Caenorhabditis elegans: one gene and its partners. The protein of the gene in region 4 interacts with the protein of the main gene of each other region in a pairwise test. Each region holds a gene or a part of one and is shown on either strand. Other genes may lie near its edges.

Region 1 (7,122 bases), on a different chromosome or scaffold from region 4:
TTCTTGGAAATTTGAATTCCCGCCAAAATTTCTTTTCTCATAAATTTTGAAGTTCCCGCCCATATTTTTAAGGGTCCCACCACGATGGGTCTCGCCAGTTCCAGGTGGTACTTAAGCTAACAAAAAGTTTCTCAGAAAATTTGAATTTCCCGCCAAAAATTTTTTCTCAGAAATTTTGAGTTTTCGGCCAAAATTTATGGGTCTCACCACGAATATTCCAGAATTTTTTTCGAATTTTCCAGAAGGTTCTGGAACTTTCCAGAAGGTTCTGGAACTTTCCAGAAAGTTCTGGAACATTCCAGAATTTTCTCGAATTTTCCAGAAAGTTCTAGAACATTATAGAATTTTCTGGAATTTTCCAGATGATTCCAAAACCAAAATTGAAATTCCCGCCAAAGTCTTTTTCTCAGAAAATTTGAATTTCCCTCCAAAAATTTTTTTCTCAGAAAATTTGAAATTCCCGCCAAAATTTTTTCACTGAAAATTTGAATTTCCCGCCAAATGTTTTTTTCACGGAAAATTTGAATTTCCCGCCAAAATTTTTTCACTGAAAATTTGAATTTCCCGCCAAATTTTTTTTTCACTGAAAATTTGAATTTCCCGCCAAAATTTTTTCACTGAAAATTTGAATATCCCGCCAAAATTTTTTCACTGAAAATTTGAATTTCCCGCCAAAATTTTTTTCACTGAAAATTTGAATTTCCCGCCAAAATTTTTTCCACTGAAAATTTGAATTTCCCGCCAAAATTTTTTCACTGAAAATTTGAATTTCCCGCCAAAATTTTTTTCACTGAAAATTTGAATTTCCCGCCAAAATTTTTTTTCACTAAAAATTTGAATTTCCCGCCAAAATTTTTTTCACTGAAAATTTGAATTTCCCGCCAAAATTTTTTTCACAGAAAGTTTGAATTTCCCGCCAAAAATGTGGGTCTCACCGCGAAGGGTCTCACCACGATGGGTCTCACCACGAAGGGTCTCACCACGACGGGTCTCACCACGATGGGTCTCACCACGAAGGGTCTCACCACGATGGGTCTCACCACGAAGGGTCTCACCACGATGGGTCTCACCACGAAGGTGACAGGCCCCGCCCACAACTCTCACTGACTTTGGGTGTGACGTCACAAACTACAAAGACTACATAGACTACAAACTATGGACAGACGAACTGTATTTTTTAATATATAAGTAATGATAATTTATTCTAAATTTATGCTCTAATTATGATTGAAAAGTTCAGCATTCAACTATCTAGACTATTACACGTGCTCGGCAAATTCGGCAAATTCGCCTAGCTCGGCAATAAAAAAATTTTCCAATTAAAAAAAATCATTATTAGTCATTTAGCATCATAGAAATGGGTTTCAATTATCTCTCCACTCGCCGTAGTCTCGTCCTGCATAATATTTTGTTAAGTATTACAAAACAAATATAGTATCGATCCAAATTGAGCCAAAATGGAGCTAGATTCCAGTAAACGATACACAGTGTCAACGTTTATTTTAGGCTGTCTACTTATTTCAAAATTGAACCTTTGTTCAGCTTTGTCTAGGATATATCTTTTGTGTAAACCGCTCATTAATTCTTGCGGTGTTTGCATTGGAAATGTGACCGAAATTCGTCTCACCGTTGGAATGTTGTAATTAAAAAAACAAAAATTATACTGAAGTTTATTTTGTAAAATAGATTGGTTCTAATTACTCACAACAATCTAAAACATATGACCCAAATTGCTCACAATTATTAGTTTGTGAAAATTGGAATGGTTTTTTGTTTCGAATTGTAAGATCAGAAAAACACAGGGCTATTTTTTCCTCCGAAAACATTTCCTCCGCGTTCTGCAAACCTCTCAATCATTAAAAGCGTACAAATAAACGGAGCGAGGTACAGACGGAGGGAGCAATATGTGCTTGATCTTTGCGGTGACAAGGCAATCATTTGATCAGTGAAACATGCTTGGGACAAAAAAGGAACCTCACATTATTGGCAAGTTGCAAATCAGAATTGAACGCTAGGAAAAATAACGGAACTAGGGAAATAGAGAAAAAAGTGACAGAAGACAAATTCATCCCTCCTCCCATCTACTGTTTTTCATTTTTCGGCAAAATTCTATTTTTCTCTCGGTTTCTAAATCGAAGCAAACGTGTGTAAGACTACAAAGTTCGAATCAATCACATGGTGCGGCCGCCCAGCCTCCCACCTAATTCCGTCCATCATCAGATGGTCGAGCGTATTTTATGTTACCTTAGATTCCATTCGCCCATCTTCCTGTGACTGTGATCAAGGCCGTGGGACAGCGCGAACTGATAACTTTTGTTAGGGTTACAGTAAGATCGTGTGTACAAGGAATCAATTAGAGACTGTCAAGGTCAAAGTACCTACGGACTTTGGCTTGCGGGCTACTTTTTTTGGTGATCGATCATTTGAAGATACAGGAGAGTAGAAAAAGATAAATGGTGATAAGATATAAGATTGGTGTGAAGCACATTTTGTGTAGTAGTCAGCATCCAGTTCCCCATGACCAGAGTACGAATGGATTTTGGGTTGTGTAGCTTATGTTTGCAAAAACGAGTTTATCAAGAAGATTTTCAAAAAAAAATTTCTAAAGATAATCAGAAAATTAATAAAATATATATATATACATATATCGCAAATATTCTAACAGAATTAATACACGAGTTTCAATTTCCAGAAAAATACAGTGTATTCTTTAATAATGACTGGTATAATTAGTATTTACTTATAAAATTGAAATTTTGAAATATTATATGAGACGGTAATTATTGTTTACCTAAAATTTGAGTTTGAAGTTTTTAAAGCTAGACTAACTAGTAAATTCCATTGAAACAAATATTCATGATCGACGTAAATTTTTGAATTTAGCCTGGAGTCATCATGATTTCAATATGCTCGTGTCTACACGTATTCTGATCGCAGTATCTGACATTATCCTTACGTAAAGCGATAATTCTTTTCAGAATTTGTATTCCTAGAAGGGATCAGATCTTTGGTTAATTTTTGCATCTGCATGCATTACTTTAAATAAAACTACACAAATAAGTTTTTGTACAACAATTCGTAATACGACTATAATCGTGTGTTCAAACATATGTGTTCACATATATGTAGAGAAGTTAGCTATCTTAAAGAAGAAACAGATTGATAAATTTCTGATAGCTAAAATTTGAAAGTCACAGTTAATCACTGCTCAACTGACTCTGAGTGTGGGTTGCCATAGATGATTAAGTGGTGTTTCAAAAAGGCAATTCAATTCTGAAAAACTTAACCCTAAAAGGGGTATTTTGAAAACCGACATAGAACCATCTGAGCCTTTTAAAGCTTGAAACCCCGAAAGGAGCTGTCTATATTGATGGTGTGGATTAGAAATTTGTGAGAGATTCCTAATATATTTGCTAGATTCATATCCCAACACGTGGAAGTTTAACAGCATTTTGAGATATTTCTAGTTTCCGTTAAAATTATAATTCAGAAATCTGTGCATGCTGGAAAGCAGCAATCATAAGATAATAAAGGTATGCTCAATTTTTAACAAGAATAGCCTATTATTTAGCAAGTGAAAGCGTATCATTTGATCTGCCATTTTCCCGGATTTTCATGGTGTTATATACTTGCAGGTAAGCTTAATCTCATTTCTGTAAACACATCTTGTATTAGTTTTTACGTAGTCACCTCAAGTTATCATAACATAAATACATCAACAATGTCTAATTTCGTAATCTCGCATTTCGAGAAACCCCTCGTAGCTTGCACAAATCCAATAAGGCTAATCCGTGACAGGAAGGATTACTGAAACATCTGGTAGCAGACTATAATTAGACATGCGCAATTTAGAAAATCACAAAATTATAGGCTGTGCGGATTTTTTTGAAGCGCCTTTGAAATTGCAGGTTTCTCACACACATCATCTAAAAAAAGATATAGTGAGACATTTAGATCGGGGAAGCTCTTTTCAGAATATGTGAAAATCTAGTTTAAAGAGCTAGAAAATATCATTCACCTGGGGAAAAGATAACACGTAAGAACTAAATTCCAGACTAATGCGACGAGAACTTTTTGAAATCAACGTCAGGGACGTAACTGTTCTCGAATTTCCTATATCACATAATTTGATAATATTTCCCTATCATTCCCCTTGTGGTCATGAAAACTAACATGTTCAGAAGTTTGGTTATAAACATAATTTTGAAACTCGTTTTATTGCCAATATCACAGTTTATTTCCTAGATATTTCTATTCAGTGAGTCTTAAGATCATCAAGCAATGTAATACTGTGAACTAACAATTTAATGGCTGAGCAACAAGAACCTTTTACATTCTCTCCATGTAAGTTTGTTAGAAATTTCAAAACTCAAGCTAGACAAAGTTTATCAAGAAAAAACAATGAGTTCAGTTATGTGTGAAGTGTGCAAGAGTGCAACGTACCTCTGATACCAGGCCTCTGACGCTGTTGAGTCATCGGCGCGCCAGGAAGCATCATCGGATGCGGACCACCATCATTTGGATGTGGCATCGAACCCATTGGTGTCATTGGCGGAAGTGGTGGCATCGGTCTCATAGGCATCCCTGCCATCATCGGCGGACCCACTGGACCCATGGGCATCATTGTCATTCCTGGCATGTGAAGTGGATGACCCGGCGGGTATGCTGGATGTGGAAGTGCGTGAAGAAGATGAGGTGGCGGAGGACCATGTGGAGGTGGTCCCGGTGGTCCTCCATTAAACCACATTGTGTTATGTCTATAAGGCGGATATGGTATCACAGATTGCAGGTTGATAAGTGTAACGAATTCTGAAAAAAAAGGAATATATCAGTAGTATCTAATCATTCTAAAAAGAAGAAAAGCAAAGACTTGAAATTATTTTATCTCAATCATAACTGTTCAGACGTGTGTTCTCATAAAATCAACAACATATTTTCATATATCAAGAAGAAAATGGGCCGGGAGAAGACAAAGAGTGGGATGCAGATACGCAAAAATTGGAAATTCAGACAATGCCTACATTTCAAAAATTATCTACGCTACTAAATTAACGTTAGTAGCAATGATGTATTTTTAGCGTGATACAGTAGATTGTAATTAAACTATTTTAAAAAAACTTTACTTCCGGTTTCGGAATCTTTGTTTTGGTACCGAACCTCAAGAACATTCCTATTATTATTTGGATCTTTACGTGAACATGCCAGAAGGTTTTGAAATTTCTGTTTCAGTTTTAAGCCAACAGCCATCAGCAGCAACAATGATCTACAAGCTTGAACATTTTATTACGCTGGTCATTTTTTACAAGAAAACTTAAAATAGGGAAATGAGGGAAATAAAATTGTGCGTTACAAAATAATTTAGATATAAACAGTATATTTATTTTAGTGCTACAGTTCGCGTATACATTTTATCATGTAGATTGAAATATATTGAATCTAGAGTAATACAACAGTTTCAGTTCACAGAGTCCAGTTAGAAAGTAAAAAAAACAGTTAGGACTGAATCAGCTCAATCAAATCAACGTTACAAAATTTTGATCTTGCTCTTTGGCATCTCAGTCTTGATCCCGACAAGATCATCAAAACATTAGTAACTCATCGAGAAAAAAACAACATCCAAAACACGTATGTACGCAACGCATGCAGTGGTGTCAAAACAGAACAAAGGAGGATTGATTTGTGGGAATGGGGAAAAAAGGGGAAGGAAATTCTCCTCTTCCTCTGTCTCCCGAGTCAGGCCCATTTGAAGAGCGTCTTTTGGTGCTGGTCATCCTGCGGACCGCCTTGCATTACCTTGGAGAAGCCGGACAAAACGAGGTTGCGCAGCAATCAGTTTTAGAACGACTGGAAAGTCGGAAAATAGAAAAGTGAAAATTGATGAAAAATTCACTTAAATTTCAGAAAAGAAAGAGCATGCGAATGTCAGAAAGTGGTTGTGGGATACCGAAATGAATGGAAGGACTCTGAAAAAGAATTCCGTTCCTGTGATAAATCGAATTAATTTTATCGCTCTTTATTTTCCATTTTTCTCGAAAATTTTCCGCCTTGTTTGCCCACAAAGGCTCAAAAATCAGAAAATATCGTTTTCAGAACCAGAGGAATTTTGAGTGGAGGCGATTTATGGTTGAGTATGATAGTTGTCGATTGGAGAATAAAGAAGAGGAAACAATAAAAAAAGGTTCACATCGTGTATTTTCCCTAATATTTCTTTTCATTCCTTCCTTCTTCCTTCCGCTCCTTTATAGTTTTCCTGCCGTAAGAAAAATGCAAGTCGGGAATGACGAGGAGGAAAAGAGCAAAAAGAAAAAGTGAAGGAAAGACCGCGGGAGCACAAAAAATTCCTGAGGTCAAAAATCCTCTTTAGTGAAAAATGAAATGGGAATTGCAATCCAGAGAATGGATTCAATCTTTTCATCTTGGCACGGCGATTAATCATGGCACCTGGCAGCTCGGTTAGAAACTGCTCTTTTTCTCGATGGCAAGGAATTGGAAAAAAAAGAACGGATATATACACTTTTGCAGCATTTGCACTAGAACTTGAACTTTTGGCTATGAGTAAAATATAGAATTACCTACGGGGTTTCCGATTTAATTTTGTTACCGGGTTCGTGTAACATAATAATGATTTGCTCTGAAATTAGTTTTGTTTTTCTTTTCCGGGAATTACCCCATAAAAAAGAGATTTGAAATTTGCGTCAAGATTGGTTTTATAAAAACGATTTCTTAGCTCGAAGTATGTTTAACAACAAAATTAAAAATAATTGCTTAGAGAAATGAAAGAGTGAGAAAAAACGAAGCCGTCTCAACAATTGATACCAAAAAACATGTAAAAGTGGTTTCAAAATTAAAAAAAAGTACATTTGTCTCATGCGTACTTAGTTAGTAAAAATAGAACATTAAATCCTTACACATTTTAAACAAGTTAAAAACAATATCTGGATCTGATTGAATCAACTGTTGCCCAAACTTTCTAATCTGGTGTATTTTTAGGGCATCAGTTTGACTTGAAGTTTATGTGCCTATGTATGAAAACGTGATTTTAGGTATTTTTACACTATATTGGAGTAACATGATATTGATTAAAACTATGCAGTTTTGACTATTTCAGTGATCATGATGGGG
Region 2 (5,442 bases), on a different chromosome or scaffold from region 4:
AAAAAATTCCTCAAATGCTCTGAAAAAATAAAGTTCCAAAGGAGTGTTTTTAAACATCTCAAAGAGTCAAACTTTTCAGTTAGAAGAAATTATGAATCTTGCAAAATAGGCATATTACTAAAATATTTACAAGAATTTTATCACCTCTTGGTGAAAGTTCAAAAATATTAGTTTTTCCAATTTGAAAAAGTTCCCTCTATATGCAGAATCCAGCAAAAACGTTAAGCTTATAAACGTTACCAGTGAAATTGATTCCAAGAACAATTATGACTAAATTCAATAGATAAATTAATATAAATAAGTATTAAGGTATTTTGAAAACAACTGAACACGACCTCTAGTCTGCGGTTTCGAGCAAAGTATCAAATTAAGAAACCTTTGTGAAAAGTAGATGCAAACGATAATATTAGTAGGAAACTATAGAAAAAGAAGAAGAAGCCGAAAGTGTCATTCAAGTAGAAACAAAATAAACATAGAATTTAGACCACCAGAACACATCGAAAAGAGAGCAACTCAAAACTTTCGAATGGCTTGTTTTATTTTCGAAAGAAGAAAAAGAAGAAGTTGCAGAATAAGAAGTAGAATCTCCATGAAAACATTCATCATCTACGACTATACGAGGGCAAGCTTGACCCAACAATACAAGGGACAATGAACCCCCGAGAGTTCTCGGCCTAAAACAAATTCCGTTTTTTTTTTCTGCAAGAGCTGGTAGTTCCTATGCCGACCAACAAATCTGCGTCTCTTTAGAAACGGCGGCCATCGGCGATTAACACAAAAATGAGCGCGAAACGGGTGAGAGTGGAATTTGCATAGGAAAGTGTCTGCCCATTATAAGATATCCGGAACAAGTTTGAGGGGAAGAAATTCGAATGCAATCAAGTTTCCACGACCTCTTCCGAAAACGAACGAATTATTATATTGCCATTCGGTTTTGTATGGAAATAAATGACAGATGACTGGAAATAAATGGACAGGTGGCAGTAGTTGTAGTAGTAGTACTAAACGGATGAAAATTGGAAGAGGAAAAAATGAAGAAGGAGAAGGAAAGAAGGCGAAGGACGCTTTCGACAACTGAACCCCATGGGAAAATAATGCGTTTTAGGATTTTTGACACAATTTTGCCTTTTTACTAGCTTCACTCATGGAACATTTAGAATCTGTAAGCAAACATGCCAAACTTGTTATTCAAAACACAAAATAAATTATAAAAGAGGCATGAAAAATTCAGTTGGTAATTCCAGAAATGGTGTGGTGGTAGCTGATAAAAGAAGGCATTCATTTTCAGAACATTCATAATTGTGTTAGAAATAAAACTTTTAAAAACGTGATGTTTTTCAAGACGGAAAAAATTTTTCGACACGAAGTTTTTAATCGTTTTCATGCACAAGTTTCACTTCGAATAATGTCAATACTCCACGGCTTCGGAGCAGGTGTGTGGCAATAAAGAATGTACTTCAATCAGTAATTTTTGAATCAATACAATTTCAAAATTTTATTCAACTATTTACAATACATCACTTGAGTGCCTAGTTTTAATTAATACAATCCGTTGTTTGTCCAGTGTATTGATTGGCCAAATTCAATGTTCCAATATCATAAGTTTTGCTTGGAGTCTTTCCAGATGAAACATAATTATCTGGAATAGTGATTCCAATCTTTTTGTAGCAGAGACCATTGTAATTGCATTTGTGATAAATGTTCAATTTTGGATCAATAGTTGAAATTTCAGTTTTTGATCCAGATAGTCGGAATTGTCCATTGGCATCTGAAGTTGCTTCTTCCAAAAGTACATCAAAGGCTGGAAAAAATTTTAATCAGAAACTAAGTTTCAGATTCATAACTTACTTGATTCTTTTTCATAAAGCTTCAGTTTAACTCCAGATGCTGGTTGTCCATTACAGATAACTCTTCCAGATACAGCAACTGACTGTGTTCGGCCAACACCCAATAGAGCATAACTTGTAGAAACAAGAGCAAATAGCAAAAATAAAGTAGTCGGGGAAGAGCACATTTTTAAATTTGAACTGAAATTTTGTCGTCTCAACAGTTATTTATATGGTAGAAACGGTAGGTGTTTGCTGAAGAAAGGAATGAAAAAAGAAAGAGACATTGCTATTTACACAATTACTATTGGCACACAGTACGAAAAACCATTTATTTTCAAATGTTAAATACTCAAATACAATTAAAGTTTTCGGTGGTTTGTCGCTGAACTATATCGGTTCCTTATTTACTTCTTAGTTTAAACAGTCTGTAGATTGGCCTGGGAAGTTGTTGGCCAAGTTCAATGTGCCAATGTCAAAAGTTCGTGATGGTTGACTACCGGAAGTGACGTAGTCCTTTGGAATGTGAATTGTGAATTTTTGATCACATAGCTAAAAACAAAATTACCAAAATATAAAACAGTGATTCTGAAATGTCAATAAATAATTTACCCCGTTGTAATTGCATTTGTGATAAACATTTAGCTTTGGGTCAATAGTTGTGATTTCTCTTTTCGATCCTAACACTCGAAATTGACCGTTCGAATCAGTACGCCCCTCCTCCATCAATCGATCGAAAACTTGAAAAAAAATTTTAAATCAAGCAATCAAAATATAATTGTTATGCCATAGTGGTAGTGGATAGTAGTTTGAAGCAAGATAATCTATGATATTGACCGATTTTCTGATAAAAATGGAGATTCATCAGTCGGTTGTGTTAGAGCATTAAAAACGTATCCTTCATAGAATTTCAAGAACTGTTTTTTTAATTTTTATTGAGAAAGTTGCCCTTGCTATTAGAGTCACTTGTGATTTTGAGAGATTATTTCTAAGACTCCAAACAACTGGATTTTTTTTTCGAATTACAATATAAAAAACATTTGTATGTATAGAAAAAAAATTGTAGAAAATGATTGAAAAGCGACTTACATATTTCGTTTTCATACAATTTAAGCTTCACATCAACCGCAGGTCTCCCGTTACAAATCAATCTTCCTGATACAGCAGCTGATTGCATACTTCCAATTCCTAATACATCCTTTGTAGCAATTGGATCGTTTTGTCCAAGAACGAAAACGCATAACAGAGAAAAAACTAACATATTTATGAACATTTTTCAATCCAAACTACGCTTTTCTCTCATATGTCAGGACTATTTAAACTTTTTTGTTTCACATTTTTGAAATGGCAAACATTGTTGCCCATACATGTGTTAAGTGATTTTTGTTTGAGAGAAGATTTTTCTGTGTTTAGAGACACTTCTCGAGCTCTCGTACTTTTGGTCTTTTGGTGGTTTTTGTTGATGAGTGAGCAACACATGGTAATAACAAAATGGTAGCTAAGTCAACATAAATTTCACAAATCTCATGTTGAGTCATAAAACACTTACAGACATTTCTTGAACAATTTTCAAAGATAATTCACCTTCGCACTGTGTTTTCTGCTTTGTGAGCACGCAGGTTTACACGCAGGTTAAAAAATCGATTTTTTTTATTCACAGACTTCAAAAAAGTGTATTACTAGTCAGAGGAAACACGAAGTATTATAAGAACTTTATCATACAAATTTTGCCAACCGATAGTTGCAGGTTGACAAAAAATTCAGCTTGCAGAAACCGGCAACTTGTGAACCAGTGGTGATGTCAACATCAAATACATATATTATTTGTTTTGAAAAAAGCATTCGAACATCATGGAAATTGCAAACAACTCACTGTAAATAAAAAAGTGAATAAATTTTCCTTAAAATACTCTGAAACACAGGTACTAGAAAATTAATGTTAGGCAATTGGCAAAAGAACGACAAAGTCCGGAAAAGTTACCGAAATATTTAGACAACCGACAGTTTCGTGTGAATGAAACTTTTCAGCACCTTCGGCGATAATGGCCAGTTGCTTAAACTTTTGGTTGCCGCATAGCCCAGCTATGGTAACTTTGAGTAGCCCAAAAAATTGAGCCACAATCAATATTACAATTTTTTGAATTATCTTACAGAATAACTGTTGTCTGACAAGAAACGCAGCGGCTGAAAAAGTCAATAATACTTACTATTAAATTCAATTATTCTACAAGACCTGCTCATGAATAGTTTATTTGAAAATATGTGTAATTAAAAGTAACCAAATCAATCAATTAATACAATCGGTAGATTCTCCTGGATATTTGTTTGCCAAGTTTAGTGTTCCTATATCGTATGTTCGTTCTGCTTGACTACCACGGTTGATATAATCCTTTGGAATTTTTATAGTGAATTTTTTGGAGCACAACTGAAAATTCACATTTAATTTAAAAAATTGACAAACACACAAATCTAACCCCATTATAATTGCATTTGTGATAAACGTTGACTTTTGGGTCAATCCTTGAAATTTCTCGTTTTGAGCCAGAAACTCTGAATTGTCCATTTGAATCTGTACGGCTTTCTTCCATGAGTCGATCAAACACTCAAATGTAATATTTTTTCGGAAGGCAATTTCATAGTAGAACTTACGAATCTCATTTTCATACAGTTTGATCTTAATATTTGTAGCTGGTCGTCCATTACAGATTAGTCTTCCAGAAACAGCTACAGCCTGCATTCTTCCGATGCCGAGAAAGTTTTTGGTAACAATTTCATTGTCTTCTTGGCAAAAGACCAATGTCAAGGCGACAAGAAGGGAAGCTAACCTTATGACCATGACGTGTTAAACTATGATTTTCACATGTTCATTTTGACTTAAATACGGTTTTGTCTTTGCTTTCACATGTGCAGTTAAGTCAATATTGGGCGGAGGTTACCTACAAAGTTAATACGATTTTTCTTTGTTTGTTTGAAAAGAAAATTGTTGTTGTTCATCACAGTTTCTCACTTTTTGGTCTCTATTTGATATGAGGGATGAACAATAATAATCCACATTACACAGAATAGATAAACGAATTTGAAAATAAAATCGAAAAGCAGAACTCCAATTTCAAAAAATGGAGTGTTTGAATGGATTTGCACAAAAATCGACTTGGCGACAATTTCTTCGGCCAAAAACCTCTGGAACGAATCAAATCTGCTCGCTGTAGTATGACGGGAACGCTAAATTTTGAGATTTGCGTTTTGGGCAACATAATTGACGCGCGAAATATCTCGTAGTGAAAACTACAGAAACTCTTTACTAGGTTACTGTAGCGCTTATGTCTAATTACGGACATCGTTTATTTATCGATAAAATATCGAAAGAAAGCATAAAGTATACGAAAAAACTAAAGAAAATTAAATATCGTTGCCACAATTCGAGCAGAAAATTGTTTCGAAAATCGAGCCCGTAAATCGACACCAGCGCTACAGTAGTTCTTCATAAAATTACTGTGGTTTTCGCTACGAGATATTTTGCGCGTCAAATATACTGCGCAAAACGCTTTTCTCGTAATTGTGTGTTCCAGTAATGGAATAATTCTTCCAGCTACTGTTTTAAAATCTTTCTGTCATT
Region 3 (8,517 bases), on a different chromosome or scaffold from region 4:
AAGCTGCCGAATAAAAAAAAATGTTATTAAAGTAGTACTTTTATCTAGTCTTCTTAATATTTTAGAGAAACAATATAGAGAAAACACGAGACATAAAAAATTAAATTGAACATTGTCTCATCAAACAGAAAATATTCAAGAAATATCACATAAATAAGAGAGAACACAGAGAAGCAAAGTGCTAGTCTGTATGTGTAGTCCTTGGTTACAACGTGTACGTTCTATGTGCGGAGAGTGGCGGTGGATTGGCGGAAACAGACGCAAATATGACATATCGATTTTATATGCAAATTTCGATACGTGAAGAGTGTGAAATGATATCAAAAGATTAAAAGGAAACTGGCAACATAAATACAACTGGTGAAAGAAGTTTGAAAAAAAGTTTTGATTGTAAAAAATCAAACAGTTTTTCATGTTGAATGGGCAAAATGCGATATCAAATTTGGAAAATATCAGTATCTTTTGATGCATTGAATGGTTTTTATCGCTGCCACGGACGATCTCCGTTCTCATGCCATTTCTAATAATTCATGCAGTTTTCTCAAACATTGAAATATTTTTATTTGAGTATAAGTTTTGCAGTACAAATTATTTCATTGTAAAACAACAATGAAGGTAAAATGTTTTGATGCCATTGCAAATTAAAATTTTTTTCCACCAGAAGTTAAAATTAGGTACTGAAAGCACGACTAATGGCAAAAAATGTTAAAATATAGTACTTGCTCAACGAATTGAACAGTCCCTAGTCTGGCATATGGGGAAGGCTCTTCAGCTAATTGTTAGGACAATGGCAGTTGTGTATTGTAACCCCTCATTTTTGAAATAAATTCAACTACCATTTATTTATCCATTTTAATAAAACGTGATGTGCATTTTCCCTTTTTAGTCTTAGAAATGGCTATTTCCTAAGCCGAAGCCAACGGTTTTTATAATAGGGCAGCCTGTAAGTGTGAAGCATTTCAGTCTCACCACAACCATATTGTTTTTTTTAAATTAAACTAACAAAGGAAACAAACTATTTGTTAGATTATCAGTGTTATACTTTTATGTTTTTTAACAAGCACAGAAAATATAATAGAGAACAGACCGTTAACAAATAATAAGTTACCAGAAAAACATAATTTAATAAATCTCAAAATTGTCAAACCTCATAATTTACTGATTTAAAAGAAGTCAGAAAACTTTTATTGAAAGAACTGAAATTAAGTCAGCAACTTGAAGTGTACCCTTAATAATCCCTGAATCTCGTGAAAACCGTTCACTTTTCATCTAACGCCAGTTTTTTCAGGTATTCTAGATATCTTAGATAGATATTCAGATTCAGACAATTTCAGATATTCAAAATGGATCTTTCCTGAAAATTTTCCATATTTTCAAACCGATATAAAATACACTTCTTACAAGTACAAACATTTCATTGCACAATTGTAACCACAATTTGTCGGGAAACTGGAAGAATGTAAATTCTAAAGGTTCTTAGGGATCAGAGAGGGGGGGACCGTAAATGTTTATCTCAAAATACAACGCTGAGTAGTTAAATATTTCGAATCGTGCATCAATTCATACTAGAAATTTTCAATAGTTATCACATGATGAGTGGAATGCGTTTAAACTGAGATCATTGGAAATCAAAAGGAAGTTGGTGACTAATTGACAAAGTTTTGAAGGTAGTGAGGGGGAGCAATTGTGCCTATACAGAAGAGTAGATTGAAAATCAAACCGGGGAACAAATCAACACTAAATAATACTAAATAAAGTAACTATATAATCAACAATAAAGGGAGTATATGACATCAGATTTAGGAAGGCAATATAATTCAACAAGTCAAGTCATCACTTCCTCACTTTGCGTGTGATAAAGCTGCGGTCGATGATAATCCGCATCATCGGGCAATGGCGCCATCACACTTGGCAGCATATGAGCATTGAAGACGAGCACGGCAGGATCAATGTTTGCAAGGTTGGGATCCATGGATACGGGCTCTGTGTGCGGATTACAGTCCACCGGTATATCCACCGTTTGATAGTCGTTGTAGCAGCTTTCCGGAGCGATGACTTCTGGCGAGCTGTATAGTACCGGATCTTGTTTGATTTCTGTTTTCACAAATGGACGAAGACCGCCGTTGTTTTCCATGACACCTGGAAATTCAGCTTGTTGAATTTTTATATGCATTAAAAAAAAAATTTAATACAGGTTTTTCTACAATCTAGATTAAAATTCCAACTACGTACATTAGTTATTTTATTGCGTATTTTTATTATTTGCCTAAACAGTCAATCGAAAATAATTTCAGTATTATTATATTTGAATATCATATTAATTTAAAACAAGGACTTTCTTATTAGAAATGTTTTTATCAAAAGTTGATGAAAATTGAATAATTAAAAATAAAGATAACGATCTAATGGCGATTGTATTCATACAAAAAGTAAAAACCCATATTTTGGATTCAATTTAACTTGTGTGTCAAAAAAATACAATATTATTCTGCACGGAAAAAACCCCTTTTCTTGAATTCCAATACGCTTTTAACAAAATTGTCATCTCTGTTTCAAACTCTTGTTTCCCAAAGGTCATATGTTCAAAAACATACTAATTGCGGTGAATCTCTTCAAATTCTCAAGCAGGTTCGGATCGAATTTCAGGACGTTTGTGTTGCACGGCGCGTAGCACAGTGTTTCGTACCAGAACTTGCTCATGTCACAAAACTCGAAGAGCTTCGCCACTTGGAAGTCTTGGCAATGCATGTCACAGATGAGCTGAAAACGTAGAAAATTGAAATTTATTGCACAAAGTTGGAAAATAAAATCTTACCTCAATTTCTCCTAATAATAAAATCATTTGTCCAAATCGTAGGGGAGGATCCGATGTTCCATGCTCATTGTACCAGTCGAAAAGTCGATTCATTGCCCAATCACGTCTCTGCTTCATCACTTTTCTCGTGTCCTCCGTCACATGCTCATTATCTGCAATGTTTTGAACAAATGTAAGAATGCAAAATCCAATTTTCAACTTACTCGTCACACTCCACAGAAGCATAATGTGCAGAAACACAACTTCTGCGTCGTTCACCTTCATCAGCACAAATGGACGGATGACGTTCTTCCAGAATCGGTTGAACGTCGGCGCGAAGGTTCTGCAATGTCTAGAATTCAAAAACGAGAGGCGTTGTGTTCTAGTTCTCAATGCGTCAGGGTTAGGTGACGTTAATTGTTTGACGACATAGGTTAAGTGGTATTTTGGTGATTCGTGACCCCTTTCGGGTGCTTTTAGCTGAAGTGAAGGTAATACTTACTCCCTCTTTGCTTGAATCTGATGTGGATCATCGTCGGGGAGCTCGAATCCGGTCCGATCCGCAGGCACAAATGTAAAGTTGTTCATGACAAACTCTCCACGAGCACACTAAAATAAAAATTATTCTTCTGTTAAATTCAAATTTAGCAACCTACATATTCAGGATGCTTGGAAGCACTGTAAAAATGGTCCAAACTGAGCTTCCGTACAGAATACCGTTTGAGCAGCGATGATCTATCTTCCACCGGCAGTTCTCCGTACGGTTGTTGTTTCTCAATCCAGTACAACAGGCCAGTCAACTCCACAGCTGATAACTTGCTCACATCGAGTGGGTCCATTCGCCGAAGTTTTGGCCCATTACTGTGCTCATCCAGAAATTGTTCAAACGTGGAGAAGGAGAGTTGCATCATGCGTTGATGTTCACCAAACGCGTACACCAGGTGGTTGAACTCCTGCTGCTCGTCGTCATTAGGACTGCTTTGGCAGGACTGCTGGAAAAATTTTTTTCTTAATTTTTTTAAAAATAATCATAAAACATATTGCCCATTTGTACACGATACATTGAGGTTTTGCTACTGTTTAAAAATATGTGCTCATATACGTCCAAAATCGGCCACACTGTAGCTTCAATGTTTACTCATTTTCAAACAAAAATTAAAAAACGAGTATAACATAGCTTTTTTCACAGACAAAAGTTGTAAAAGCGACAAACTTTTTGAAAAGGTTTTAAAATTATCGATTTTTTACATGACAGTTATCAGTTTTTTAAGCGACACCAGAGTTATACCATTGTAGTAATTTATTCGCTACCTTTTCTGGAGCAGAACTCGTGCTTGGAATTGGCTCATCATCCAATTCAATTTTGACATATTTTCTATATCTGTCTGGCGAGTTCGAGTAGTCTGTGGAGATTCGGCGTGGTGTTGCAAACCCATAATCTGTCCTGATAGCATCAACAATGAATGAGTTTGATGTCGGACCATCCGACGAGAAGCTATTGCCGTTTCGCTCCAACGGGCTATTGTTCATGGACATCATCTCACCAACGCCTCCGGCACGTTTTCGTCGCTCTTTCTGCGAGCCAGTTGGGTCACGACGTGGCTGGACAGCTGAAAAGATGATAGTTTCAACTCATTCTCACCAGGAAGTAGATATTTGCTTGTTGGTTGCCGAAACTTTCAAGGTGCTTTTTGCTCACTAACCGCCAATTTTCATTCCCGCTTCGATGCATTTGGTGAACCGGCAAGATCTGCAGGCACATCGTCCATCCGGGTCAATCAGGCAAGTGTTAGTGTGCTTGCAGCGGTACTCCTGAAAGAGCTTTGAAAACGGTTATGGTGAAGTTTAAATATGGTGTTGAGATTTGGAGAAAGGTATTATATTCCAATAGAAAACTAATGAACAATATATTCTAAGTCTAAAGATGAAATTAATATTATCATTAATTGTTTACAGTTTTGCTCACTAGTCAATAAACTCAGTATTTTCAAAATAAATCTATATCTCCAGAACTATAATTATTTGTTTCGTTTAGCCACATCAAAGTTATACACAACTAACTAATTTTGTGTATTAGCTTCATAGATCGATTTTTTCTCGTCTTGTTCTTACTAAGTCAATAACAAAATTTTTATCAGTAAGAAAACCAAAACCAACAGAGCTAGCCATCTCTACCCTCCACACGTGGTGTGCTACCATTTTCCTCTCATCATTGATGCCTTTGCCGGGGGAACAAGGTGATCTTAGATCGCTAAAATGAAGAAACAACAGAAAGCCCAATGAGCTTATGGAAATGTTTGCATACGCTCTTCACAGACGAGTTGTAAGATCAAGAGTGATTTTTGTGCAGCAGCCATTGTGTTGCCACAAAAAGAGCAACAAGACATTTTGAGTTTTGAGACTGATCAAAAAACAAATATAAACTCCTATCTAGTGCTACCTACCGCCTTCTCCACAACAGTTCGTCTGAAAAATGCGTTGCAGGAACGGCAGCTGATTGCACCATAATGAAGTCCATCGGCCGGAGCTGAGCATACCATGCACTCCTGGAATAAAAGTTTTCTTATAAGATTTCAAATTTTCTCATGGAAATATTAGTTTCATTAATATTACAAAATATTTTAATATTTGAAGTTAAATAGCTTCCCTCATATTTATCATGTTATAAAAAAGTAAAAGAGCTCAAATTTCAATATTTGGCTCTCTCTGTAAATTTTAAATTTCGTTTTTACTACAAAGTTCTATTTGGTTTTGTTCAAAGCATTGCACATACATCATCATCTGAAATGGAACAGAGCCCTCTTTTGTTAGTCATTCATGAAAAAATGACAAAATTCTCACGAGCATTCTTTTATGTGCCATGCCAACTTTTTGGTTGCAAGAAATTATAAAAATTGAAGAAGCCTTTTTTCCGTATTAAAAAATTATACCTGCGAGTTATATTCATCCTTCATCATCCAATCCGGTGATTAATCCTGAATTCGACAACTTCAAGACCGCTGGGCAGCGTGGAGATGTTGTTGTCTCCGACGGATCGACGACTTGTTTGTCACCGGCTCCTACTAGCTGGGCGGCTCGCTTTTCAGCTGGAGAAAAGAAAACTAATTCAGAAATGAATATGTGCGAGGTGGAGAGGCAAAGAGATAAATGCAAAAAAAGAACGGGAGGTGATAATATGAGAATTTGGATGGAAATTTGTTTTTTGATTGATATAAATATAGAGAATCTTGCCAATTTCTAACACAAAAATGATTTTTTTTTTCGATTACTAAGCACACAATAACGGATGTTCTATGAAGGCAAACATCACAAATTTTCCCAGTTTTTGCACGGGTTTTGATATAAAAATATTGAAAATCTATGTCAGGAAACAGTGCATTTTCAAATTGAACGCGACGTAATCGCTCGAATTAAAAAGAACAAAATAAGAGGGACGATCAATCAAAAAAACGCAATGAGTTGCGACAACTCGATCAAATGGTGTTTGGTGTGCAAGGTGGGCATTCTCAATAGGGCGCACTTTCAGTTGCCGCGTGGCAAAGGTTAGTTGAGAAGAGGATGGCGACTGTGTGGCAACAGTTTTGCAAGTGAGAGAAGTGAGAGAGAGAGAGAGGTAAAAGAGAGCGTAAAGAAAAAGGGGGAGCAAGAAAAAAGTTGTTGAGTTGGTAAAAAGAACAATTGCCTCTTTTGATAACCGTGGACTTTGATTATAAAAAAGTATTTGCTGGTAAGTTTACGAACTGCAAAGAATTAGAAATATTGTATTTTTCACGCCTTAAAAAAATAAATCGCAAAAAATTTCAAAACCAAAAAGTTGCAATCTAACTTTTCCTATTATGAATTTCCCTCGATTTTTATCAGTTGTGCCCCGCTTAAAAATGATTCCTTTGATATTTCGACCATCCACAAAAAGCAGAGAAGACTATCATAAAGTGTCAAAAAAGATTGTACAATCACGCGGAATGATTTTAAGCTGACGAACTGAAGACAGTCTCGAAAACCTTCAAGCAAACAAGTATGGCGTTGATGACGGTGGTGATAGTGGTGAATGTGGTGAGAGTGAAAGTATTGTCATGATACTGATCAATGAAAACGCGGAAAATCGATTTTAGAATTGCAGTTATTTCAATTAATCCTATCTTGACTCGACTATGGTTTAAAGTTGAACAGGAAAATCGATTGACCTGCCACCATATTTGGTAATATGATAATATGCATTGAATGAAATAAATGCAAACAATAAAATTTTGTTCGGCAAGACAACTTTGATAAGATTTGGTGATTGATCTTTCGAACTTCAAAAAGTCATTTATATGCATACAAATTAAAAAAAAAAAACAAAAAAGGGATACAAAGAGTATAATAATAATGTGTGGGTGGTTTGTGAAAATGTTGAACAAATCACAGGAAAACCATGCCCGGTAATAGACAAACATAAGAGAGGAACATAGAGAAACATTCTCCACAACGCAAATGATGGCATTTCCGTTTGTCCCTTCTTTCTCTATTTCTCTCTAATATTCCACTTTAATTTCTAACATAAGAAAAGTACGCTGTTCCGGAATTACCGAAAATTGGAAGAAAATGGAAGGGAAGGAAATCGATTGGCAGGTGTTGGCGGACAAGAGATATAAATCAAGTGGACAGTACTTTACAAGGAGGCGCCGAGACGCGAAATAGCGATAAATAATAGAGAGTGATCAAATGTGTAGATAATTGTGTTACACGATTCAACTTTTTAAATTTTTTTCTTTATTCTAAAGTGTAAACACTACTATCAAAAGTCTGCACTGCAGCTTGAATTATTTATACATTGTTAAAGGTTTTAGGTGTAATCTAAATATTACTTCACATAAATTGCAAAACAGTAATCCTAATGATGGAATATGTATTGTATATTAAAAAGTTGATTAGTTGTTGCATTACTTGACTAAACATTTGAGAAAATTACCATAGGATTGCTAACATTTTCAGAGCTCAATTTCAATGTATTGATGCCATAGATTTATACAGGGTAGTCTATAATTACGGACCACCCTGTATTTCATTTCCACTCGAAAAAGTTTTTGATAGGCCAAAAGTTGAAAGGGCTTCCGTTTGTTACCTTATTTATAATTGAAATACAGCTAACCTTTTTTTATCATATGAATTTTCGGAATAGATCAATTTTTTAATCTCAATTTTACATTTTCATACTTGATTTTTTTTTCGAACAACTAGAACAATTAGTTTCTACGTTAATTCTATCACAATAATTAAATCAACAAGAGTCGGCGTAAGATCAGAAGAAAGTCTCTAAATCATTTAGTATCTCACGTAAATGTGATGACTTTGATATATCACCAAAACGAAAAAAATCAGCTAGAAACGAAAAGAAGATAATCGGAAACTTTTTTGAAAAAAAAAAGTGTACGAGAGATAGAACGGGATGAGGGCAACGCATATGATGACTGGACACTACACTTTCAGTATGCTTCTTTTCTCTTTTCACTCTCACAAAATGTGATAAATGATAACAGCAAGTTTCGAACAAAAAAAGAAAGAAAAAGACACATTTTTCCCATCATCCGTTACTCAGTTGTGACTCTTACCTCAATAAAAATAGAGAAAGAAAGAAAAAAGTGCGCTCACGGGAAGATCAAAAATCTTTTTGGCCTGATCTTAATCTTTGCCGCATTACCAGACCTTCCATACGGCTATCTGATTTTTGTAGTGCGGACTAT
Region 4 (9,173 bases):
GATTGAGTATAGAAAAAAGTGAATTGATAGACATGTAATGATGTATGCCTAGGTCTCACCACGATGGATTTTATTCCAAATTGAAGCCACAAAAATGTGTGCGCCTTTAAGTAGTACAGTAACCAACTTTCCCGAAGTTAACCTTTTCTTCAATTTTTGAAAATTTCTCTCAAGTTCTTAATAGAATTTTCTCTTAAAAATGATTGAAAACTGAAACAAGTTGTTACGGTACTTTTTAAAGGTTCACATTTGATTTTAAGAACAGATCTTAAAGAAAGATAAAATGTTGACCGTTTTGAAATCTACTACTAATTGTTAGTTACCAAATTCTTGTCTCAGAATGGAAAGAATATCAAAAAACCAAAACAAGCAACCCAAAAAAACTAAATAAAATGTCCAAAACTGGCTGAAGTGTATGTGCTCCAAGAGGTGTGAACTCACCCACCTAAGCCTAAATGCTCACAATTTCTTCATCTTCCCTCTTCCAATAGACATATCATCACTTTTACCCCGTTATGTACACTGTTCGGATCATTGAATTGATCTCAAGTGTCTTGGGAAATGGTCATATATCCACTATCATTTAGATGATCGTGTCAATTGAAATCAAAACAAAAATCATCAATTTGAAGAGTTTTAGAGAAATAAACAATTTAAAAAAATCTAATTTTGAAAAAAAAAACTAAAAAGCTCAGCTTCACCTCCAGCAGCTCACACCAGGTGCTCAAACATTTGGAAAACAATACTTTTTGTAAATTCTTCTAAATTTCTAAATTGCAATAAAACTTACGGTCTTGGTGGAGGTGGTGGAGGACGTGGCATTGAACTTCTCGAGTGAATTCATAATGATGAGTCAATTGTGTTTATTTGATACGAATAATAAAATATGGTATAATAATGTATTTTATCGATGAGCTTTGAAAAAGTATAAATAAAAGTTTCTTTTTGCAAACATAAATTGGTACGAACGCTTGAAAAGAAGGAAGGAAAATGGGAAGAAGGGAATCTTCTAAATAGAGATGGGAAATGCCAAGACAGTCACTTCTTATACATATTGAAGTACTAAACTGATAATTTGATTGACAATAATAATCACAAGAATAAACGAGAGCCAGCCCGTCTGGAAAAAAGATTAAGGAAGAAGAGTTGGGGGAGACGAGAACAATAACCTGATATGATATAGAGATGGCCTAGACAGGTTTCAAGATGAAACAACTACTGAGACGGAAGGGTATTCTTCTTTTGTTATGTACATTATAGCTGGGCTCTGGACTATTTTATAAATTGGGGGTAATGATTCAAAACAACAATAAGGGAAAAGATGAAAGATCACAGATTCGGAATAGAACTGGAGATGAGATGAGGTGAAGAGTTTTGGGAGAAAAAATGGAATTATTAGAGCATATGATTATTCTGCTCACTGTTCAAAATGGAATCTTGTGATTGGAGAGGATGAATTGCCAATGGAGCTGCAAGAGTTGCTGAGAGCATTCCAGTTGGTGTAATTCCAGAAACAGACGAAACACTTCCCACTGATCCGGCTGGATTTAACGGAGATACCTGAAAAATATGAATTTTGAAATGGAAGATCTTTTTTAAAAAGAGAATTTTACGGTTTTTCCCTGAAATCATTGGCCGTTTTCGCTATTTTTGTATTTTTTTAGAATAAAAAGTTTAATAAAATAATTAAAAACAAACCCCATTAGTCGGTAACGTTGTCGGAGATGAAAGATGTTGCTGTAAAGAGACCGGAGCCGTCGAATGATCATTGATGTCGTCGAGAATGAACTCGGAGAGCAGAGAATCCACCTGAAGCTATCATTTATGTACGGATTCAAACAAGAAAAGCTTTCATACCTCTGCCAATCCGAAGAACTTTGTAAGTGTCATATTCTCAATGAGCAGCTGAGTCAGAGCCTTGAGAGCCGGTGCCAACAACAAAATATTTCCATATCTTGTGGGTGCGTCATCTGGCATCTGATCGAGAATGAATGCATAAAGAGCTTTCAAAACACGATTTCTAGCATCACGAATCATAATCTGTGAGCTATTCGAGAGTCCTTTGGCTTCTGGGTGCAAGAATGCAAGTGCTTTCAAACATACAAATTCTTGTTCTCTCATCTGAAGTTGTCGCATTGGCCAGACAATTTCATCAAGAACTCTGGGTGTTATATTGCTTGTTTTGAATGCAGCAAATCCATTGAGGTCAGTGTTATTGTCACGTGTCATATAAGTATTGTTGAAGAGACAAACTCGAGTTGTATCGGGACTTCGAAATGCTGGCATCAAAATGAGATGTTGTGGTGCATAGTTTTTCAGTAGAATGATCTTATCTTCCATCGAAAGATCCATGAATGGATTAATTGTTTTTGCCCATTCAACCATCAATAAAAGTGTTGTCCTGGAGATTTCATTCAGATCCTGAAAATAAAACAATGTGACCTCTTAATTTACGTACCATCCAACTCACTACCTCGGTTGTGCATGGCCGGTTTGGTGGTGCAAATGCCGATGCTCCAGAATCACTTCCTTGTTGAATATCTGTGTCATTTCCATTCGACCCCCCACTGCCGTTTGCAAAGATTTGCGATCTTCGGTATCGATTACACATCTCTTGATTGACACGAGCCTCCATCTCCATTAAAGCATCAATGACACTGCTGGATTGTGGAACTGTTCGCATATTCTCTTGTCCCATACCGTTTGATCCGACACCGTTGCTGTTTCCGTTCTCGTATCCGGGGCTTCTGTCTTTTTTGAATGGAGTCCCGTTGAGACTGGCTCCAGATGTTGGTGAACCTACAGGATCACGTTCGAATTGAATAGCTGAAATATATTAAATTGTAGAATTGATCGTGGATGTGATTCAGATGATAGAACATGGACCTGAATGACAGAAAATAGTTGTTAAAATTTGTATTTTTGAATTCCCACGAAAATGAATGAAATATAATTATAGTTTACTATATTTTCGACATTTTTGCGTTTTTCGGTAATGTTTATTGTGGCTTTGTTTCAATATAATTTTTTGGTAAATTTAAAAAAAAAGAAATCATTCAAAATTTAATACAATTTTTAACAGTTATGTTCTGTCATTATGACTCTATTTCTTCTTTAAAATAACGAATTAAACATGAAAAAACATCCAAATTTTAAACGTATGTAGAATTAGATACGATATTTTGCTCCAAAATTATTTTTTCTAGATAGAAAACTACGAAACAATTTTTTTTTAGAAATATCGTGTTTTGAAATGGAATCTACGGACAGGAAAAGGAAAGAAAGAAGAATATATTCTAAATTCTGAGTTAACGGGGCAAATTTCCGAATCAATATCTCAAGTTAGAATCTTTTTTGCGGCCGATCTCATTTCACGGACGAAATTGAAAAGAGGTCACTGGTGAAAAACATGAGGCCACTGTGTTTTGGATATATTCAAATATTGAACGGAAAGAGAAATGAATACCTTCTCGTTTCATTCCAACTTGTACACACTTTTGAAAGCGACAATAACGACACGCGCATCGAAAGTTTTTGTCAATCACACATCTTTTGTTGAAACGGCAAGTGAACTTCTGATCACGAAGAACTGTTCGGCGGAAGAATCCCTGAAATTCATGAGTTTTATTAATGCGGGATAAATCATTAAAAAGTTCGAGATGATAATCATAACTTTCAAAAACCAGTTAAATTAATACGAACTTTTGCAACCATAAAGTACAGTACTCGGTCTCGTCACGAACAATATGTTTTCAAATAAAGCATGCGCGAAAAGCGTGGGTTACTGTAGGTGGAGTCAATATTACTTTGCTTTAAAGTGAGGAAATTGTTTTTTAAAAACTACTCCTGTGGTACCAAAGTTAACAAAAAAAGTTAGAAAATTTTTATTGACAGTAAAAACTGGCAATTACAGTTTTTGCCACTTTTTGAGAAAACTATAGCCCTGTCGCTTATCGAATCCCTATAGTGTTTGATTATTAATATTTGAAACATAAGTAGTCCATAAAATTATAAGGAAACAATTTTTTTGATCAACGACTTCCAAAAGTGGCAAAAACTGAGATTTTTCATTTTTCAAAAAAGGAAAAAATATAATTTCCAAAATCATTTTTCGTGACGAGAACTGAATTTATAATTTCACATAATTCTAAATATAATTTATTTTTTATTATTTTATAATTTATCCCTTCTCACCTTACACCCGTTGCAGGAAATGACTCCATAATGGGTTCCAGTTGATTTGTCACCACAAACGGCACATGGTTCCGCAAGAGGATCTACTAGGTCCATGACTGAAACAATTAAACTTTTTACAACAAAAAAAACAAATGAAACACGAAAAAAACCAAACAACAGATAGCAACGCAAGTTTTCAAAGTGAAAGAGAAACGACGAATGTCACTTGTTCATGGAAACGATGAAATAGTGTTGGAGGTAGAGAGAGTGTCAGACGAGTAGAGAAATCAGAGTCAATGCAATGGCTTTAACACATGATAGACACACAAGAAATAAGACAAAATTTAATATAAGTATTGATAAGCCTAATGTAAAATGTCCTGACGATACGGTGGATTAAAAAAAACGATTTGCCGTATCTATTGCAAATCGACTATGACGTCATAGTGTTTCAATGGTGTCTTTAGGAGTGGAACGCATGTTGTCTTAATAATAAAGGACCGGCAAGTGCACACAATTGAGATGCATTGACCACTAGGCAGATGAATGGGCCGCGTTCAGAAATTGTAGGTTTTATATTAGACCTTATTGGTGAGGATGTGGAGATAATTCAGCAGCATATAATTAGAATTTCCACTGCTAGAAGGACAAACTTGGTACTTTCAATTTATTGTTTCTGAATATAGAACAATTTTGAACGTATATTCAAAAAGACCGAAGCTCATGTAGAATGTTTTTCAATAAAGTATCCTAATCGAGTCCAATAAAAGTAGAAATTTGAACATTGAAAGGGCAAGCCGAAACTTGATAGCTCGGAAATTTCGAGCCTCCCAGTTTAGCAGATGTAGTGTAGGACTAAACGTGTTGCTATTGTAGCGAAAGTAGAGAAGATTGAGAAATCATCCGTCTTGAGCAAACAAAAGGAAACGCGAAGATCAGAAAAGGACTGATGTGGCACACTCTAAAACTGGTCGATGTGTTCGGCAAGATTCCAGTAGTCTTTCTCTCTCTCTGCTCACTCCAATGAGGTATTCTTAAATGCGGATGCTATTTCAAAGTCTTCTTGATCAATCTTGTCCGACGGATCGAATAAGATAGACGGTCGCGCTAAGTAGTGTCGTTCCTTTTCTCTCCAAGATCGTAAGATCTATATCTAAGGAGCGAGGAGATGTAATGCATCGAATAAGTGACCGACGAGGATCCAGTTGTAGGGTTTGGTAAATTCTGGTAGAAAATGAGGAGACACATCGAAGAATGACGTTCTAAGAGAAAGGGCATTTGAATTACTTTAGAACTTTTAGAAGAGCCAGGTTAATAAACTCAAAAATGTACATATTATTTGAACGTATAAAAATCCATATATACCCATATAGTGGACTTTGCAAAGAAGCCATCCAAAAATCATTCTATTAATTTCTGGATTTCAATGAGCAAGTCGCTGATTGGTTTTGTAGTTCTCAGTTTGGTGGAAAATTCAAAAAGGCATGAAAGTCGATATTTTAAAAGTTGACTTTCTTTCAATGTCGCTTGATGTGTCCGTTATAAAACTTACTTACAATCATCTGAAGATTCTTCATCAATTTGATTCAACTGAATATGTTTAGAAGCATCAAGAAAGTAGTCCATATCGTGAGAACGGAATGAGTTGACTAACAAAATGATGAGTATATACAAGGAGTTTGCGAATCACCCCATATAAACAGGAAGTGAGAGACTACATTATGTAGTTCAGTGTTGTTCGATGCCCCGTACTTTGTACTCTCAAAGCTAATTGGGACCGGCGTCGTCTCATTTAAAGTCAGTCATTAAATCTATGAACTTTTGATTGTGGAAAAAAGCTGAACTACTGGCAAACAGAAAGGAAACGAAAAAAAAAGAAAAGAAAATGGTGAAAAAGAAGAAGAAGCTAAAGCTGGCAGGCCAGTCGGTTAGAAGGACAAAAAAGAGACAGTGGTTGGTCAAACATGTCGAGAAATATGAAAAACTAGAGAGAATGGAGTTGACAGAGACACCAAACAACGACAGCCAACCACCCACAGCACGTTGACAATCGATAACAGGAGAGGCGCAGACCTTTAGAGATGAATAGATGAAAAGAGGTAGAGAAAGATTGTAAGAAAGTTCCTCTCGACCCTCTCTCCCGTACTACGCTATACCCATCAGGTCGTTGACACCACCACACGTGAATGAAACAGTGTTAACCGAGTGAAATTAAAATGTTTCAGATATGCCTTATATGATAAGTTAACATTTTTGGAGCAAATATTTTCGAAAAGTTCAAATTGATGATTTCAATTTAATTATTTCTTTGAAAAAAACGAACAAAAAAAAACAAGTAAAACAATCAACAAGATTAAAATGTGTCAAAACCGGAAATTCAAACAACAAAAAATATCACGAAACTAAAAAAAAATTATTTATTCTTTTTCAAATTCCTCTGCTTCTCCGCCGACTCCACAATCAGGTCCTCGGTTGGCAGTCCTTTACGTCTTCTAACTGCATCCATATATCCTCTTGCATGATTCGGACTGTCTCCCTTCAATCCGAATTCTTCAATTTCTTCCAATGTAGACGGCGTCCAGTAAGGATCCTCGTCAATGACTTGCCAGTGAGAAAATTGAAGTTGAGCAGAAGCCATTCCAGATGTGAACTTGCGAAGTTGATCACAGAAAGAGAACGATTCGACGACGGGCATTAGGGAGACCACTTCGAATAAATTTGTAGCTTCATTGATGTCCTCGGAGAGTACCTGAATTCAAAATTATTTTTTATTTAAAATTTAGTATTTATACAACGCCATTAAAGTAATAGTCAAAATTCGAAATTTTTGAAACAAAATGCTCATATAAATGAGATTGGATATACCGTATTTATTTGTTTAATCGGCACACTAAACCATAAAATCTATTTAGATTATAGTTGGAAAGAAGATTCATTCATTATATTCTCTCCATATATACGTTATTTGCACAGATGCGTCGAAAATTACAAAAATTAAATACTTCGTTCACATGCTCAATGGGCAAATCACATTAAATATTGACATGGATTTCAGGTTTATATTCGAAAACAAAAAAAAGGAAATTTTCGAAGCCGAAAAATTGAAAAAAAAGGAAAGTTTTGTAAATTTGAAATTATATATTGAAAAACTTAAATATTTTGGTCAAAATTTAACTTTTCATAATTTCGAGTGTCATTTTTAGAGCTATATCAGAATATTTCGGATTTTTTTTTCGGAAAAAAAATTAAAAATTAATTTTTTGTAAATTTGAAATTTTATTTTGAAAACTTGAATATTTTCATCGAAATCGCACTCTTTCTAAATTTTCTAGTGTTTTTTTTTTTTGAAAACATGTAAAATTTAAATTTATCAGTTATCAGGATTTTCGGTTTTTAAAATAGAATCGTTTTTTTTCTTCAAAAAAGCGAAAAATCTACTGCCCTGATGGATATAAATATTTAAATTTATAATCTCTAACTATATTTGAAAATGTTCTACAATTCTCCATTCCTACTTTCGATTTTCTTTGTGACAAAACGGCATGAACTTTTCCCAATGCCTGACTGGCTGTAGTTACAGTACACCGGTACATGGCAGCGACAAGGCGGAGTGCAAGTTTTTTAGCAGCAGCAGAGCATGAAGCTTTTATTGCAGTCATCATTTGTCCTCCAATAGCTCCATCTTCTTCATCAACATTCCATTCTTCAACAATAACTGCTATTCCGTGCATAATTTCATTGCAAAGTGGTCCAGTATTACAGAATAATTCAAATCCAGCGACAAGTGCTTGATCATATCTTCTAACACCAAATTCTGTTTTTCTCCAAACGGAATCTCTATCATAATTTTGAACATTATTGAATAGAATATTGGCTCTTGCTCTTTCTGGTCCAAATGCCCAAATTTGATCAATCATTGATTCAATCACTTCCTTCGGTTTTCGAAACCACCAAGATCCTTTCAATGTTGGAAGCGTTTCCAGACAAACGGATGTAAATCTTTTTTGGAACTCATCAATTTCGGTTTGATCGGCTTCTCCTCGACGAATCGATGAAATTAACGAAGAATTTTTGTCGAGCAACTGAAAAATTGAAGGTTCCTCGGCAAATCGCCGCAACTTATCCACCAACTTTAGCAACTTTAGAAATGCCAAGTGCAAAAGTTGCTAAATTTTGGTAAAAAAGTTGCTAAAGTTGGGCAAAATAGGTTAAAGTTGGGGATGCCCTCAAAATTTGCACTGAAAATTTTTCTAGAATTGGCTAAACTTGGTTAAAAAGTTGCTAAAATTGGTGGATAAGTTGCAAAACGCTAAAATTGGCGCTTAAGTTGCTAAAGTTGGTGTAAAAGTTGTGACGAAATGCCGAGTTCGTTGAGGATTTTGATTTAAATTATACATATAAAATTTCTCTGAAATGCATAATAACCTGAGAATTTTAAATTAAAAAAAATGTTCTCCAATAATTTCATTTCAATTCGGCAAAATTCCGCTTTGCTTCCTTTTTTCCCATTTATTATATTTTTATCGAATTTTTTAGATAACTTTGAAACCTTTCAAAACCAAGGGTGTCGGGTTTTTCCGATATTTTGATTTTTTTTTTGATTTTTCGAAAAATAGCTCGAAACTATTTATTGGTAATTATACCTTTTTTTAATTATACGTTTTCTGATGTTTCATTTTTTGAACTTTCGTTTTTCGATTTTTCGATTTTTCCTGAAAAATCGATACCGGTTAAAAAATTTTTTATTTTGCGGAGTGTTTTTTTTTCATTTTCAAAGAAAATTAGAACAAAAAAAGAAAATTTGGTCGCGTTACAGTAACCATCATGCGATTTTTTAATTCAAAAATGTTTCCGAATTAATTTTTTTCGCAATTTTTTAATTTTTTAAAAAGTACTAAATAATTTTCCTAATTTTAGACTATGTTTTTACAATTCAAAAAATTTCAAAAAAAAGTCCTAACCTCGACAACGGCATCTCCCAATGGAACAACTCTCAA

Evidence for each region.
Region 1: the proteins of nhr-49 (region 4) and scd-1 interact in a two-hybrid assay, tested with the Caenorhabditis elegans proteins (2 studies listed by BioGRID).
Region 2: the proteins of nhr-49 (region 4) and ttr-27 interact in a two-hybrid assay, tested with the Caenorhabditis elegans proteins (2 studies listed by BioGRID).
Region 3: the proteins of nhr-49 (region 4) and nhr-71 interact in a two-hybrid assay, tested with the Caenorhabditis elegans proteins (4 studies listed by BioGRID).

The regions. Positions count from the first base shown.
Region 1 is NC_003284.9:12,520,975-12,528,096, forward strand, and holds the start of scd-1 (Suppressor of Constitutive Dauer formation), read right to left. Parts: upstream 4,748-7,122; coding exon 4,444-4,747; intron 1-4,443.
Region 2 is NC_003283.11:12,902,070-12,907,511, forward strand, and holds ttr-27 (Transthyretin-like family protein), read right to left. Parts: upstream 2,030-5,442; 5' UTR 2,015-2,029; coding exon 1,849-2,014; intron 1,802-1,848; coding exon 1,536-1,801; 3' UTR 1,481-1,535; downstream 1-1,480. Other genes in the region: ttr-28 (Transthyretin-like family protein), read right to left, coding at 2,241-2,378, 2,439-2,566, 2,916-3,099; ttr-29 (Transthyretin-like family protein), read right to left, coding at 4,114-4,251, 4,301-4,428, 4,476-4,662.
Region 3 is NC_003284.9:13,744,678-13,753,194, reverse strand, and holds nhr-71 (Nuclear hormone receptor family member nhr-71), read right to left. Parts: upstream 5,749-8,517; coding exon 5,725-5,748; intron 5,341-5,724; coding exon 5,239-5,340; intron 4,616-5,238; coding exon 4,498-4,615; intron 4,405-4,497; coding exon 4,106-4,404; intron 3,787-4,105; coding exon 3,451-3,786; intron 3,404-3,450; coding exon 3,297-3,403; intron 3,147-3,296; coding exon 3,019-3,146; intron 2,968-3,018; coding exon 2,816-2,967; intron 2,761-2,815; coding exon 2,595-2,760; intron 2,140-2,594; coding exon 1,826-2,139; downstream 1-1,825. UniProt on the Caenorhabditis elegans protein: Orphan nuclear receptor.
Region 4 is NC_003279.8:9,866,347-9,875,519, reverse strand, and holds nhr-49 (Nuclear hormone receptor family member nhr-49), read right to left. Parts: upstream 5,803-9,173; coding exon 5,733-5,802; coding exon of another isoform or gene 5,729-5,732; intron 4,293-5,728; coding exon 4,195-4,292; intron 3,609-4,194; coding exon 3,467-3,608; intron 2,827-3,466; coding exon 2,471-2,826; intron 2,422-2,470; coding exon 1,858-2,421; intron 1,810-1,857; coding exon 1,699-1,809; intron 1,561-1,698; coding exon 1,396-1,560; downstream 1-1,395. Other genes in the region: K10C3.5 (Elongation factor-like 1), read right to left, coding at 6,590-6,925, 7,692-8,258, 9,138-9,173.